Linked DNA regions of Neurospora crassa OR74A. The protein of the gene in region 1 interacts with the protein of each later gene in a biochemical or structural test. Links are inferred from orthologs where the notes say so. Each region holds a gene or a part of one and is shown in the gene's direction. Other genes may lie near its edges.

The links. The genes of interacting proteins can lie anywhere in the genome.
Region 2: the proteins of NCU02011 (region 1) and NCU02808 form a complex in vitro, tested with the Saccharomyces cerevisiae proteins (2 studies listed by BioGRID). The link is inferred for Neurospora crassa OR74A from reciprocal best matches to the Saccharomyces cerevisiae genes KAP95 and NSP1.
Region 3: the proteins of NCU02011 (region 1) and NCU01249 form a complex in vitro, tested with the Saccharomyces cerevisiae proteins (6 studies listed by BioGRID). The link is inferred for Neurospora crassa OR74A from reciprocal best matches to the Saccharomyces cerevisiae genes KAP95 and SRP1.

What each region holds. Positions count from the first base shown.
Region 1 is NC_026501.1:1,681,560-1,685,645, reverse strand, and holds the start of NCU02011 (importin subunit beta-1), read left to right. Parts: upstream 1-1,260; 5' UTR 1,261-1,862; coding exon 1,863-1,914; intron 1,915-2,039; coding exon 2,040-2,098; intron 2,099-2,179; coding exon 2,180-2,986; intron 2,987-3,040; coding exon 3,041-4,086. UniProt on the Saccharomyces cerevisiae protein: Importin beta subunit that functions in nuclear protein import through association with the importin alpha subunit, which binds to the classical nuclear localization signal (cNLS) in cargo substrates.
Region 2 is NC_026501.1:9,052,819-9,056,796, forward strand, and holds the start of NCU02808 (hypothetical protein), read left to right. Parts: upstream 1-1,178; 5' UTR 1,179-1,785; coding exon 1,786-3,636; intron 3,637-3,745; coding exon 3,746-3,943; 3' UTR 3,944-3,978. Other genes in the region: NCU02809 (hypothetical protein), read right to left, coding at 1-175, 266-341.
Region 3 is NC_026505.1:3,366,264-3,370,560, forward strand, and holds the start of NCU01249 (importin alpha subunit), read left to right. Parts: upstream 1-1,497; 5' UTR 1,498-1,843; coding exon 1,844-2,077; intron 2,078-2,341; coding exon 2,342-2,851; intron 2,852-2,902; coding exon 2,903-3,805; 3' UTR 3,806-4,297. Other genes in the region: NCU01248 (hypothetical protein), read right to left, coding at 1-520. UniProt on the Saccharomyces cerevisiae protein: Functions in nuclear protein import as an adapter protein for importin beta nuclear receptors. Binds specifically and directly to substrates containing either a simple or bipartite NLS motif. Promotes docking of import substrates to the nuclear envelope.

The sequences.
Region 1 (4,086 bases):
GGTAATGGAGGCCGAGTGTTTTCTGTCTTAGTGTAGGCCCTGGAAACCCAACCAAATAGCCGTTGGCTGTCCCTTATTAAGTGCAGGTATTTATCTTGGTGGGAAGACTTATACGGACGACACAGCAATCCCCGAGGGATGCTGGAGAGGGAGCTTGATCGTGAATCTGTGGTACCTTCTTATAATCGCTAGGTAGGTAGGTATTAACTGGTACGACAAGGAGCGTTCTTTATCTAACAGTTTAGAAGTGGTCACTACATCCACAACGCTTTCTGTTGACGGGTGTTCTGGAAGAAAAGGGATGGGGGCTTCTTGGATTTCAGAGACCCCCTACATATTAGGGAGGGAAGTCACTGCTAGCCTAGGCAGCCAATGCCGATGAGAGCCCCATCTCCTTTTGCCTGTTAGCATGGAAGTCTGGCTTGTCTGGCAGCCGGCCAGGCAGGCAGGGACCTTTGAACAAGCGCCAGGGAAGCAACATTATACGTAGGTAGGTACTTCAGTTGTAACTAAGAGAGACCACAATCTGGGCGGGGAGGGGGTGTGCGTCATAGAGGATAGGTCTCTCAACCTTGGTCCGCAGGTAACTGTTGTTGGTAAGTTTCTGTAGAGTTGGTGGTAACGCCTAAGAAAAGATACAGTGCACATCTGGAAGCGGATAGAAACGTCACTTCTCTCACCCTCCCTTTTCCACGACCCCCCGGCCTTCAGCCCTCCACTTCAAATGCGGCACCTGGACCCCCGTTCAACGTCTAGCAGCCCTGCGGTTGCCGGGTAGGGTGTAGTTGCTAGTAGTGAAGCACTGAGCCTTGGGCGTCGTGGGAGCCTGGCCACCTCAGTTGTGTTCTTGGAGACATCCATCATAGGTACCTAGGTACACCATGTGCCATCTTTTACTTCCACTTCACATGAAAGGACAGATGTTCTTTATCCTAAAACTTTGTTCAATTGCCCGTGGGCAAAGCGTCTTCTTGAAGTGTTTGCAGAGGTTTTGCATTTCATTGTCCCTTCTTCCCAAGTCGTTTCCTGCAGTGAGACGTCTAATTCCTTCTTTCCCGAGAAACACGGAGCGAGCCGTTTGGTGCAGGCGAGCATTCCCGTCGACCTTTCAGGCCTGGTCAGCAAAAGTTTAGCGAAGAAACCGCACGAGCCAGGCGACGAAGGTAACACCAAACACAGCACTAGGTACTGGGATACGTTACAGGCTCCCGTCCCTCCCAACAACAACAGGCAACAACACCCCCCCCCCCCCCCCCCCCAGCCGGACAGCATCGAAACTGAAAGCATACACAACCCACCCACCTGCACCTTCACCAGCACGGCGAAGCATCAGCACCTGCGATTGTTGACAAAATTTTCGAGCAAAACAAGACCCGCAGTTCGGCGTCAGCACTGCACTGTGTCTGGATTCTCCTCTCTCCTTCCACTTGCAGGCGAACGCTCGGAACAGCGACAAACCCCTCGCATCGCCATCCCCCATCCATCCCTCTCTATCCCCATCGCAATCGTCTCCAGACGGACCGCATCGATACCATCCATCCACCAACCGCCATCACCTGGCATCCAGATCCCACCCACGGCTCTGCATCTGCGCCTCGCCTCTGCGGTTCGATCTGATCTCACCGAAAGCAAATCGAGTCTTGCCCCGATTAAGATTCAAGGTTGCTGTGGACCGTGAACCTTGGACTCCCGCCCCCCGCTTGTTCCACGCAGCAAAACTTTAGTTGCATCAAGCCCAGGCCGACTTTCTCTCCCTTTCGGAAACCCCCCCCCTCCCTCTTCTCCCACTACCACCGCCAACCCGCTTCGTTTGCTGGAGAGAGACCCGTTCTTCCTCCGAACCAGGCATCCAAACCGCAACCATGGAGGGCTCTTCAGATATCAACACCGTCCTCACCAACTCGCTGAGTCCTGGTCAGTATATATTCGACATCCTCACCCATGCCCCGACCCTCCTGCCTTTTGGCAGCCGCTCTCGCCATGATGAATCGCGTCAGCTCGTCCAAGCCGTGACGCACATGCTGACTCCTTGTCTCTAGACGCGACCCTGCGACATGCTGCCGAACAGCAGCTCAGCCAAGCCGCTCAGACAAACTTCGTATGGCCTCCTCCCCTCGTTGCTCCTGTGTCGCGTCCCCACAGCAAGGCCTTCATAAACGCTAACTTGGCTGTTTCTTAGTCTCAATACCTCGTGACACTTGTCCAAGAGTTGGCAAATGAGAGCGCCCAGAGCCACATCCGAGCGGCGGCCGGTATCGCCCTCAAGAACGCCTTCAGTGCTCGCGAGTTCGCTAGGCAAGCAGAGCTCCAAGCAAAATGGCTTCAGCAGACAGACCAAGACACAAAGACACGGGTGAAACAGCTCACCCTCGAGACCCTCGCCTCCAGCAGTACCCAGGCAAGCCAGGCCTCGGCGCAGGTTATCGCGGCTATCGCTACCATCGAGTTACCACGAAACGAGTGGCCAGACCTTATGCACGCCCTGGTCAAGAATGTTAGCGAGGGAAGCGAGCACCAGAAGCAGGCCTCTCTGACCACCATCGGCTTCATCTGCGAGAGTCAAGATGTCGATCTACGAAACAGCCTGGTTCAACATTCCAATGCCATCCTCACAGCTGTTGTCCAAGGTGCTCGTAAGGAGGAGCCCAACCGCGAAGTTCGACTTGCCGCCATTACCGCCCTCGGCGACTCTCTTGAGTTTGTCGGTAACAACTTTAAGCATGAGGGCGAGCGCAACTACATTATGCAGGTTATTTGCGAGGCGACACAGGCCGAGGACTCTCGGATACAGCAGGGTGCTTATGGTTGCCTCAACCGCATCATGGCCCTCTACTACGAGAACATGCGCTTCTACATGGAAAAGGCTTTGTTTGGTCTCACCATCCTGGGCATGAAGAGCGATGACGAGGATGTGGCCAAGCTTGCAGTTGAGTTCTGGAGTACCGTTTGCGAAGAGGAGATTGCTATCGAAGATGACAATGCTCAGGTACGTTTCACTGCCACCTTGGTTGAGCAAGAATCCCACTAACAACAGCTGCAGGTTGAGAGCTCGGAGCAGATGCGCCCCTTCTACAACTTCGCCCGCGTTGCTACACTCGAAGTGGTCCCTGTGCTCCTACAGCTCCTCACCAAGCAAGATGAGGATGCGGCTGATGACGAGTACAACATTTCGCGTGCCGCGTACCAGTGTCTCCAACTCTATTCTCAGGCTGTTGGTGCGGCAATCATCCAGCCAGTCATCCAGTTCGTTGAAGCCAACCTTCGCGCTGACGACTGGCACCTCCGTGATGCCGCTGTTTCTGCTTTCGGTGCCATGATGGACGGCCCCGAGGAGAAGTTGCTTGAGCCTATCGTCAAGTCTGGCATGCAGCCCTTGATCGGCATGATGGAGGACCCCTCTTTACATGTTCGTGACTCGACCGCATACGCTCTTGGCAGAATTACAGAAACTTGCTCGGAAGTGATCGATCCTGCTGTTCACCTTGACCCCTTGATCACCTCCCTGTTCAACGGCCTCATGAGCAGCCCCAGAATGGCCGCGTCCTGCTGCTGGGCTTTGATGAACCTCGCGGAGCGTTTTGGCGGCGAATATGGTGCCGCGCAAAACCCCATTACTCCTCACTTCAACCAGTGCGTGACCAACTTGCTCGCCGTGACGGCGAAGCTTGACGGTGACGCTACAGTTCGCACCGCTGCCTACGAGGTTCTTAACGTGTTTGTGCAGAATGCTGCCAACGACAGTCTCCCTGCTGTTGCATCCCTCTCGGATGTTATCCTTCAACGTTTGGAGGAAACACTGCCCCTGCAATCCCAAGTTGTCAGCGTTGAAGACAAGATCACTCTCGAGGATATGCAGACCAGTCTCTGCACCGTGCTCCAGGCAATCATTCAGCGCCTGGACAAGGAGATCACTCCCCAAGGCGACCGCATCATGCAGGTTCTGCTTCAGCTCTTGAACACTATTAATGGCAAGTCGGCTGTTCCTGAAGGTGTCTTCGCAGCCATCAGCGGCCTTGCGAACGCCATGGAGGAGGACTTTGCCAAGTACATGGACGCTTTTGCTCCCTTCCTGTACAATGCCCTGGC
Region 2 (3,978 bases), about 7.4 Mb from region 1:
ATGGCAAATTCATCCGGCTTCGCGTCCCCTTCCCTCATAGAATACGCCTTGGTCCCCGGGACCTCTCCATACGCCGGCTTGTCGTCTACTCTCTCGACTCTTGTTCGCGGGATGGGCGAGGAGGGAGCTTTGGGAGAAGAGATGGCATCGGAGTAGTGATCTTCGGTGTCGGAGCCTGTTGTCGCGTAGAATGAATGGTTAGTTGGATATCCATGTGCCGACTTTGTCCAGAGGTCTCCCAAGTTCCCCATCAGCTGTAACCTACCAGGTAGCTCATGAGCGCCCGGGTCCATGGTCCCCTGCCTCTCGGGAGGCGACAGACTGTTCCTGCGCGAAGCCATTGTGATCTCGAAGCGTAGTCGCGGCGGTCTATACGATCAAAGAACAAGAGGATTTCCGACTATGGTGAGTGCTGAAGGAAGCGCAGAAATGTATATGGTAGGTAGGAAGCAAGATAGGTGTATGTATATGTATATGGATATGGATATGGATATGGGAGGATCGGGATCGGGGATCGGGGGGCCAAGGTGAGGACTGAGGAGTGATGTAGTTGGTGTGGGGTGCTACAGTATGTTTACTGCTGTGAGGGACAGGACTGGAGTGTCCTATAACAAGACGGGAGTAAGCCGACTCTTATACTCTGCAGGAGATAGGTCAATTGCACGCAGCAGATGGCCTGAGGTCAAAGTGAACTGAATCAAGATTGGGTATGCACACAGACGTTGCGGCTGACTTGTGGCATCCCAATGTCCAGACGATGGACAGCAATGTGTGTGGAGAGAGACGAGAGAAAGGAACAGCTTCCGGATGGCCTAGAGTTAGTCTAGAGGATGGGCTCACGATGGCCTAATCTAGAACATGGGGTAACCACCACCCCAAGCTTTCCGAGACGACTGAACGGGGCTCCTGCTTCTTGCTCGGCTACCCTGGGACGGTGCGGTACGGTACGGTACGGTATGGTACTAAGGTACCGCCGTGTCCGGAAACTGTATGGTAACTCGCTGCGTAATGTGCTGCAACCAGACGGTCCAGTCAGAATGCAGAAGAGCATCACGGCAAGTGGAAAGTCAGCACTTCGCTTCAGTTTATGAGGCCCGCCCCGTCATTGCTCAAGTTCTCCGTCAGTTGTCGAACTGCCGTCAAGCCACATATTGATTGGCCGTGCACGCTTGGCACTTGCTAGTAAAATGTTAGACGGGGTAGGTGAGGTGAGGCTGACCACTTCACCTGGGGCTGACTCGTTGCAGTGGTGACTGGAGTGCTCCAATAAGCGGGAAATGCTTGGCCTTGTTGAGTGCGCGTCCGGGTCCCCAGAAGGGGAAAAGCCCAGGCGCGCTGCAGCACCTCCAAAAAAGTGGAAAGGCCTGTCGCGACGGACGGAACCTTGACAAACAGAGACCGAGAGACTGAGTGACGCTGCCACACTTTCTTTGCTTTCTCCAATCCACGCCCAAACGACGTCCACGTCCACTCCACCAAACGGATTCCGAACCGACGTCCAAAACTCGCGATCCGATAACCACGGCTGGACCATTGCATCACTTACTCAAAACCGAGATCGCGCCGATCTTCCTCTTCGCATTTCAACGAATCGTTGCTTGGGTTTCCGCGCGCTCCCTGTTGTTGTTGAGGTAACCGCAACAGCCTTGGGAAGTGGGACGCTGTTGTTGACTTTCTAGATTTTGGTTGACGACGACTACCCAACCACCAACGCCTCATCCATCCATCCAACCAACCAACCCCGAAACCTCGACATCATATCGTCAGCCTCACATAATCGCAATCATGTCATTCTTCGGTACACCAAGCTCCAGCGCGGCCTCGGGCCAACCAGCAACAACTGCTACATCCGGTGGTCTCTTCGGAGCCTCCTCCTTCGGCACCCCAGCAGCGAGCTCGACACAGCCAGCCGGTAGCTTGTTTGGCGCTAAGCCTACAGATGCCTCGAAACCTGGAGGACTATTCGGAGCCAATACCACCTCGACTACACCTTCGCTTTTCGGCTCTGCTTCCAACACTGCCGGAGGAGGCAGCACGACGCCTGGCGCAGGCTTGTTTGGAAACACCACTGCCAACACATCGACAACCCCCGCCGCTGGTGGCTCGAACTTGTTTGGTGGCGGGGCCAGCACCACACCCGCAACAGGAGCTCCTTCGGGAGGTCTGTTTGGAAACAATGCTTCTACTACTCCGGCTACCGGTGGTCTCTTCGGAGCTGGCGCCAACTCTCAGACGACGCCGGCTAAGACCTCGTTTGGACTAGGATCGACTACCCCAGCCGGTGCACCACCTGCTGCTGACGCTTCCAAGGCCGCGCCCTCTCTCTTTGGTGCTACCCAGCCTGCCTCTGGCAACCTCTTTGGAGGAGGAGGAGCCTCGAGTACCCCGACCACAACCCCTGCCCCCACCTCGGGAACAACACCATCTCTGTTCGGAGCGAAGCCAGCCGAGACCACCACCTCTGGCACCACTTCTGGTCTCTTTGGCGCCAAGCCAGCCGAGCCTGCGTCCAGCACAACTCCCGCGACGACAGCCACTTCCGGATCTACTCTCTTTGGCGCGAAGCCTGCGACCAGCGGTGGCAGCCTGTTTGGCGGAGCCTCGACAACCCCGGCTACGACATCGACCACGACCACCACAGCACCAGCAACTTCCGGCCTCTTTGGTGCCAACACAAGCAAGCCGGCCGAAGCCGCAAAGCCAGCTACGGGTGGTCTGTTCGGCGCCACTCCTGCTACCTCAGCTCCTGCCACCTCTACCACCACTGCTGCTTCCGGCAGTCTGTTCGGCGCCAACAAGGATGCTACCACTACCTCTACTGCCCCAGCATCAGGAGGCTTGTTTGGATCGACTACGCCTTCGACGACCACAACCACGGCGCCTGCTCCTTCGTCTTCGACCACAACTAGCGGCCTCTTCGGTGCGGCCACCACCAAGCCCGCCACTACCACAGCGGCCACCACCACTGCCGGTGGGAGCACCACCGCCACTGCTGGAACCACCAGCAGTCTCTTTGGAGGAGGAGCCAAGCCTGCGGACACCACCACCTCCAAAACCACCACCAACAACACCACTACTGCCGCCGGCACCACCAGCACCACCGGCAACCTCGCCTCCACGACCACCGGCCCCACTTCTACTCTCCCGCGGTTGAAGAACAAGACCATGGATGAAATCATCACCCGCTGGGCCACCGATCTCTCCAAGTACCAGAAGGAATTCAAGTCGCAAGCCGCCAAGGTGGCCGAATGGGACCGCCTCCTGGTCGAAAACGGCGAGAAGATCCAGAAGCTGTACACCAGCACGTACGAGGCCGAAAAGGCCAGCAACGAGATCGAGCGCCAGCTCTCGGGCGTCGAGTCGCAGCAGGACGAGCTGACCGCGTGGCTGGACCAGTACGAGGCACAGCTGGAGGAGTTGTTCAAGAAGCAGCAGCTTGGATCCGGCGGCGAGTCAAAGGCTGCTGGCGGTGTTGGCGACGGCTTGGGCCCCGATCAGGAGCGCGAGAGGACGTATAAGCTTGCCGAGAAGCTGACGGATAGGCTGGATGAGATGGGCAAGGATTTGGCCAAGATGATCAAGGAGATAAATGATATGACGGGCACGTTGAGCAAGGGGAGCAAGCCTGATGATCCGGTATGTTTTTCTCTCTCCCTTTTTTTTCTCCTCCTTTTTCTCTCCTTTTTCTCCATTTTTCCCTTATTTTATCCAATCACTAACGCACACGATAAACAAAACACAACAGCTCAGCCAAATCGTCCGTGTCCTCAACGGTCACCTTCACCAGCTTCAGTGGATCGACCAAAACGCCGCCGACCTCCAAGCCAAGGTGGCCGCTGCCCAAAAGGCTACCAGCGGCATGGGTGCCCACCAAGGCGTCAACGAGTCGGATGCCGCTCAGAGCTTTTACCGCTCGTACAGGGCCGGTGGTGTGAACAGGTGAAGGGAAAGGGAAGGGAAGGGAAGGGAAATAAATGG
Region 3 (4,297 bases), on another chromosome or scaffold:
ACTTGTCGATCACGTTGTATAAGTAGGACACATACTGGTGGTGTTCCTCCTTCAACAGCTTGTGGCTTTCACCTTGCTTTGGGGGCAAGAGTGCTACCTGTGCTGAAGCGGGATAGACGGGTATTGTCGCTGCCTTGTAAACGCAAACGGTGGTGATCTTGCTGGTGATGAGAGACTTTGGGTTGGACTTGAACCTCTGAACTTTTGCGCTTAGAACAACAAGCACGTCTCCGGCGCCGACTTCGGGCATCCGTGCCTCGGGGCGGAAGATGACGAGCTCAACTCCGGCCGATTCATCTTCAATGGACAGGTCAGATATGGTCAGGGTGCACTTCCAGTCCGATCCGTGTGTCGCGACGGGTGCTCGGCAGTCCTTAAGAACACCAATGACATTGACCATGGACCCGGGCTGGGCATCACCGTCATCGTCGAGAATGGCTCGTAGGGGTGTGAGCGTTGACGGAAAAAGTGGTGGCTTTGCCTTGGCCGCCGGTTTCCTGTCTCTGAGCGGGCGCATCATCTGGATATCCCAACTCTCCGTTCCGATTACATGGCGGCGGATGAGTATGTGGATGAAACACCACCAGCGGTTGGTCGTGATACTTACCAACCGTTGTAGGGCAACTTGGGGACTTCAGTGTTATACGTCGTACATTACGCGTTCACTTTACGCGTCTTGAAAGCGGAAATGGCACCTGCCCAATCGCCAAGTTTGCGCGACCGCATGTGCAGGGCAAGGGTCTTGGCCGCCCGTCGGGCCAGACCATCAGACTTGAAGCGCTGTGCTTTCAGCAAGCCTTGCAGGGCTACGGTAATGGTTAGACGCATGGTCTGTGCTTTCTCTTACCTACCCAGTATAGTCATGAGGGGTCGGGGACTCCCGAACAGGACCTTGCAGGCCAGCCTCCCAACACAACCTAAAGCCTGGAGGTAGCAAAGACGTATCTACCTAGCTCAGACGGTGGGAGGTTGAGAGCGGCCTTTTGACGTCGTTCTTTCAAGTAACTGAAACATGTCGTAGTCATTCAGGGAAACGAAAAGCTTGCGGCTCGACGGACGCGGCCTGAGGTCGATGAAGTTATGACGGGCAGTGTGTAACCTGCAAACAATCCATGACGTTCACAAGCAAAATGGAAGGAATGAGAAGAATGCCTGGAGGGTCCAGCCGCTCTGAGGTGGGGCCACCCAATGGTGGACAAGTTCCTGCACTCCAAGAACAGCGGACAAGTTACAAAGCTGCTCATGTGGCCTGTGCTCGAGCTTGGCTCTTCCATCCCCACTTTCAGAAGCCAAACTCTTTTCGCTACAGTTGGTGCCAGCATTGGGCGCTGTGGGCAGTGACTGGGCCACCTTCAGGCCTGAGGGGCAGCTGTGACTGAGTGGCAGGCAGGGCACAGTGACTGCCTGCACTTGGACTTCACTTTCGTGGAGGTGGAAAGTGCTGGTAGAGGAGGGGACAAGCCGCCGCCGCATTCTTGTTTCCGCTTTCTGCTCGAGGCGCGGGCGAACTCCCAAATTCTTTCATCGTCGCTCCTCAAAAAACACACAACTCGCCTGCCCCATCCATCCCCAAAACCCAATCCTTCTCTGACGTTTTCCGTCTCGCCGACAACGCACCCATACTTTTCTCCGTCCCATTCAGGATTGCTTTGGCAGGACCGTATCAACCGGGCTCTTCCAATTCTCCGGCTTTTCTTGATCGCATATACCTCCCTTTGAACGGCTCGCAGCAACTTCGTCGCCGGGGCTTCATCGATTGCATCGCCCCTCGTTTGCCGCCTTCATATCACACCTCCATCACCCATCCGTCTAGACACCGTCGTCTCGACATCGCGTCGCAACCATGGCTGACCGATACATTCCCGAGCATCGTCGCACCCAGTTCAAGGCCAAGAGTGCTTTCAAGCCCGATGAGCTTCGTCGCCGTCGTGAGGAACAGCAGGTCGAAATTCGCAAGGCGAAGCGCGAGGAGAACTTGGCCAAGAGGCGCGGTATTGGTGCTGGCGACTCGCGGCCTGGAGCTTCCCTTGGTGCCGCCCCCGACAGTGACGATGAGAACCCTCCCACCGAGTCTCAGGTATGCAAACCTCTATCTTACTCCCCTTACATGATCGGCCACAATTTTGCTACTGCGTCCGTCCATCGCCTCTCCCTTCTCTCCCCCACGTGTACCCCGCCGATGATGGTGATGCTTGAGCCACAAACCCCCAGGCAGTGCCGAACCTGCATTCAAGCTGCGCGCGCAAACTCGAACATTGTACAAACGAAAACCACCCCACATTCCGTCACGTCCCCGATCTTTGTTATAGTTGATCTCCACATGCTAACCCAGTTGTCATAGTTGAGCGAGGACCTTCCCAAGATGGTCGAGGGTGTCTTCTCCAGTGAGATCGATAAGCAAATTCAGGCGACCACTAAGTTCAGAAAGCTGCTCAGCAAGGAGCGCAACCCTCCCATTGAGGAGGTTATCAAGACCGGCGTCGTTGGTCGCTTCGTCGAGTTCCTCCGCTCCCCCCACACCCTGGTCCAGTTCGAGGCCGCTTGGGCCCTTACCAACATTGCTTCGGGCTCTGCCACTCAAACCCAGGTTGTCATCGAAGCTGGTGCTGTTCCCATCTTCGTCGAGCTTCTCGGAAGCCCCGAGCCTGATGTGCGTGAACAGGCTGTTTGGGCTCTCGGCAATATTGCTGGCGATAGCCCTCAATGCCGTGATTACGTTCTAAGCTGCGGTGCTCTGCGTCCTTTGTTGACCCTCCTTGGTGATAGCCGCAAACTTAGCATGCTCAGGAATGCTACCTGGACTCTTAGTAACTTCTGCCGTGGCAAGACTCCTCAGCCCGACTGGAACACGGTTAGTTCTCTCGATCACGAACAATCTAGTATGTCTACTGATCCATCATAGATCGCCCCTGCTTTGCCAGTTCTCGCCAAGCTCGTCTACTCGCTCGACGACGAGGTTCTTATTGACGCTTGCTGGGCCATCTCCTACCTCTCGGATGGATCCAACGACAAAATCCAGGCGGTTATTGAGGCTGGCATTCCCAGGCGTCTTGTTGAGCTCCTCATGCATGCTTCCACCTCTGTCCAGACGCCCGCGCTTCGATCCGTTGGCAACATTGTGACGGGAGACGATGTTCAGACCCAGGTTATCATTAACTGCGGTGCCCTTCCCTGCCTCCTGTCGCTTCTGAGCTCCAACAAGGATGGCATCCGCAAGGAGGCTTGCTGGACCATCAGCAACATTACTGCTGGAAACTCGGCTCAGATCCAATCTGTCATTGACGCCAACATCATCCCTCCTTTGATCCACCTTCTCTCCCATGCCGACCTCAAGACTCGTAAGGAGGCCTGCTGGGCTATCAGCAACGCGACTTCGGGTGGTCTCCAGAAGCCCGATCAGATCAGATACTTGGTTGCTCAAGGCTGCATCAAGCCGCTCTGCGACCTTCTGGCTTGCCCTGACAACAAGATTATCCAGGTTGCCCTGGATGGTCTTGAGAATATTCTCAAGGTTGGCGAGCTCGACAAGAACGCCGCTGGCGATGGCCCTGACTCGATCAACCGTTATGCCCTATTTATCGAGGAATGCGGAGGAATGGAGAAGATTCACGACTGCCAGACGAACGCCAACGAGGAGATCTACATGAAGGCGTACAACATCATTGAAAAGTACTTCTCCGACGAGGACGAGGCCGGTGATGAGGCCATGGGCGCTCAGCAGCAGTTTGGATTCGGTGCTTCCGGTGGTGCCCAGCAGGGTGGCTTCAACTTCGGTGCTAACGGCACCGAGTCGATGGACATGTAAAATGCTGTACAATCCGTCTAGTTCTTTTTACGAAGGGGATGGTTGGGTTAAAGATTGGGATGAGGGGACCCAGATGTGATGTTGATCACGGCACCATCTGGGAAATCCTACCATAAACATCTTACCCCATCAGCCTTTCGGCTCCCCCATACGAGTTCATTCGCCCAAACACAAGTCACAACACGGCAGAACTATATTGCTTCAATCTCATAGTGCCCCCTCACGCTTATTCACCACACCATACCCCTTGAATTGGCGTTATCAAAGTTATGTTTAAAAGAGAAAGGCGAGGATAAGTAGACGCACATGGAGGCCGATTGGTCCTTTGGTGCGAAAGCTCGAACCTGATGAGGACACGATGATGCGTTTTATGATGAAGGGAGAGTAAATCAAAGGGTCTGAATGGTAGCTTGAAAGCTCCAACCCTATAGCCATGTTCGGACGCGCAGTGATCAAGCCAAGGAGAAGGGAGCGGGAGCCTCGGGGCCGATG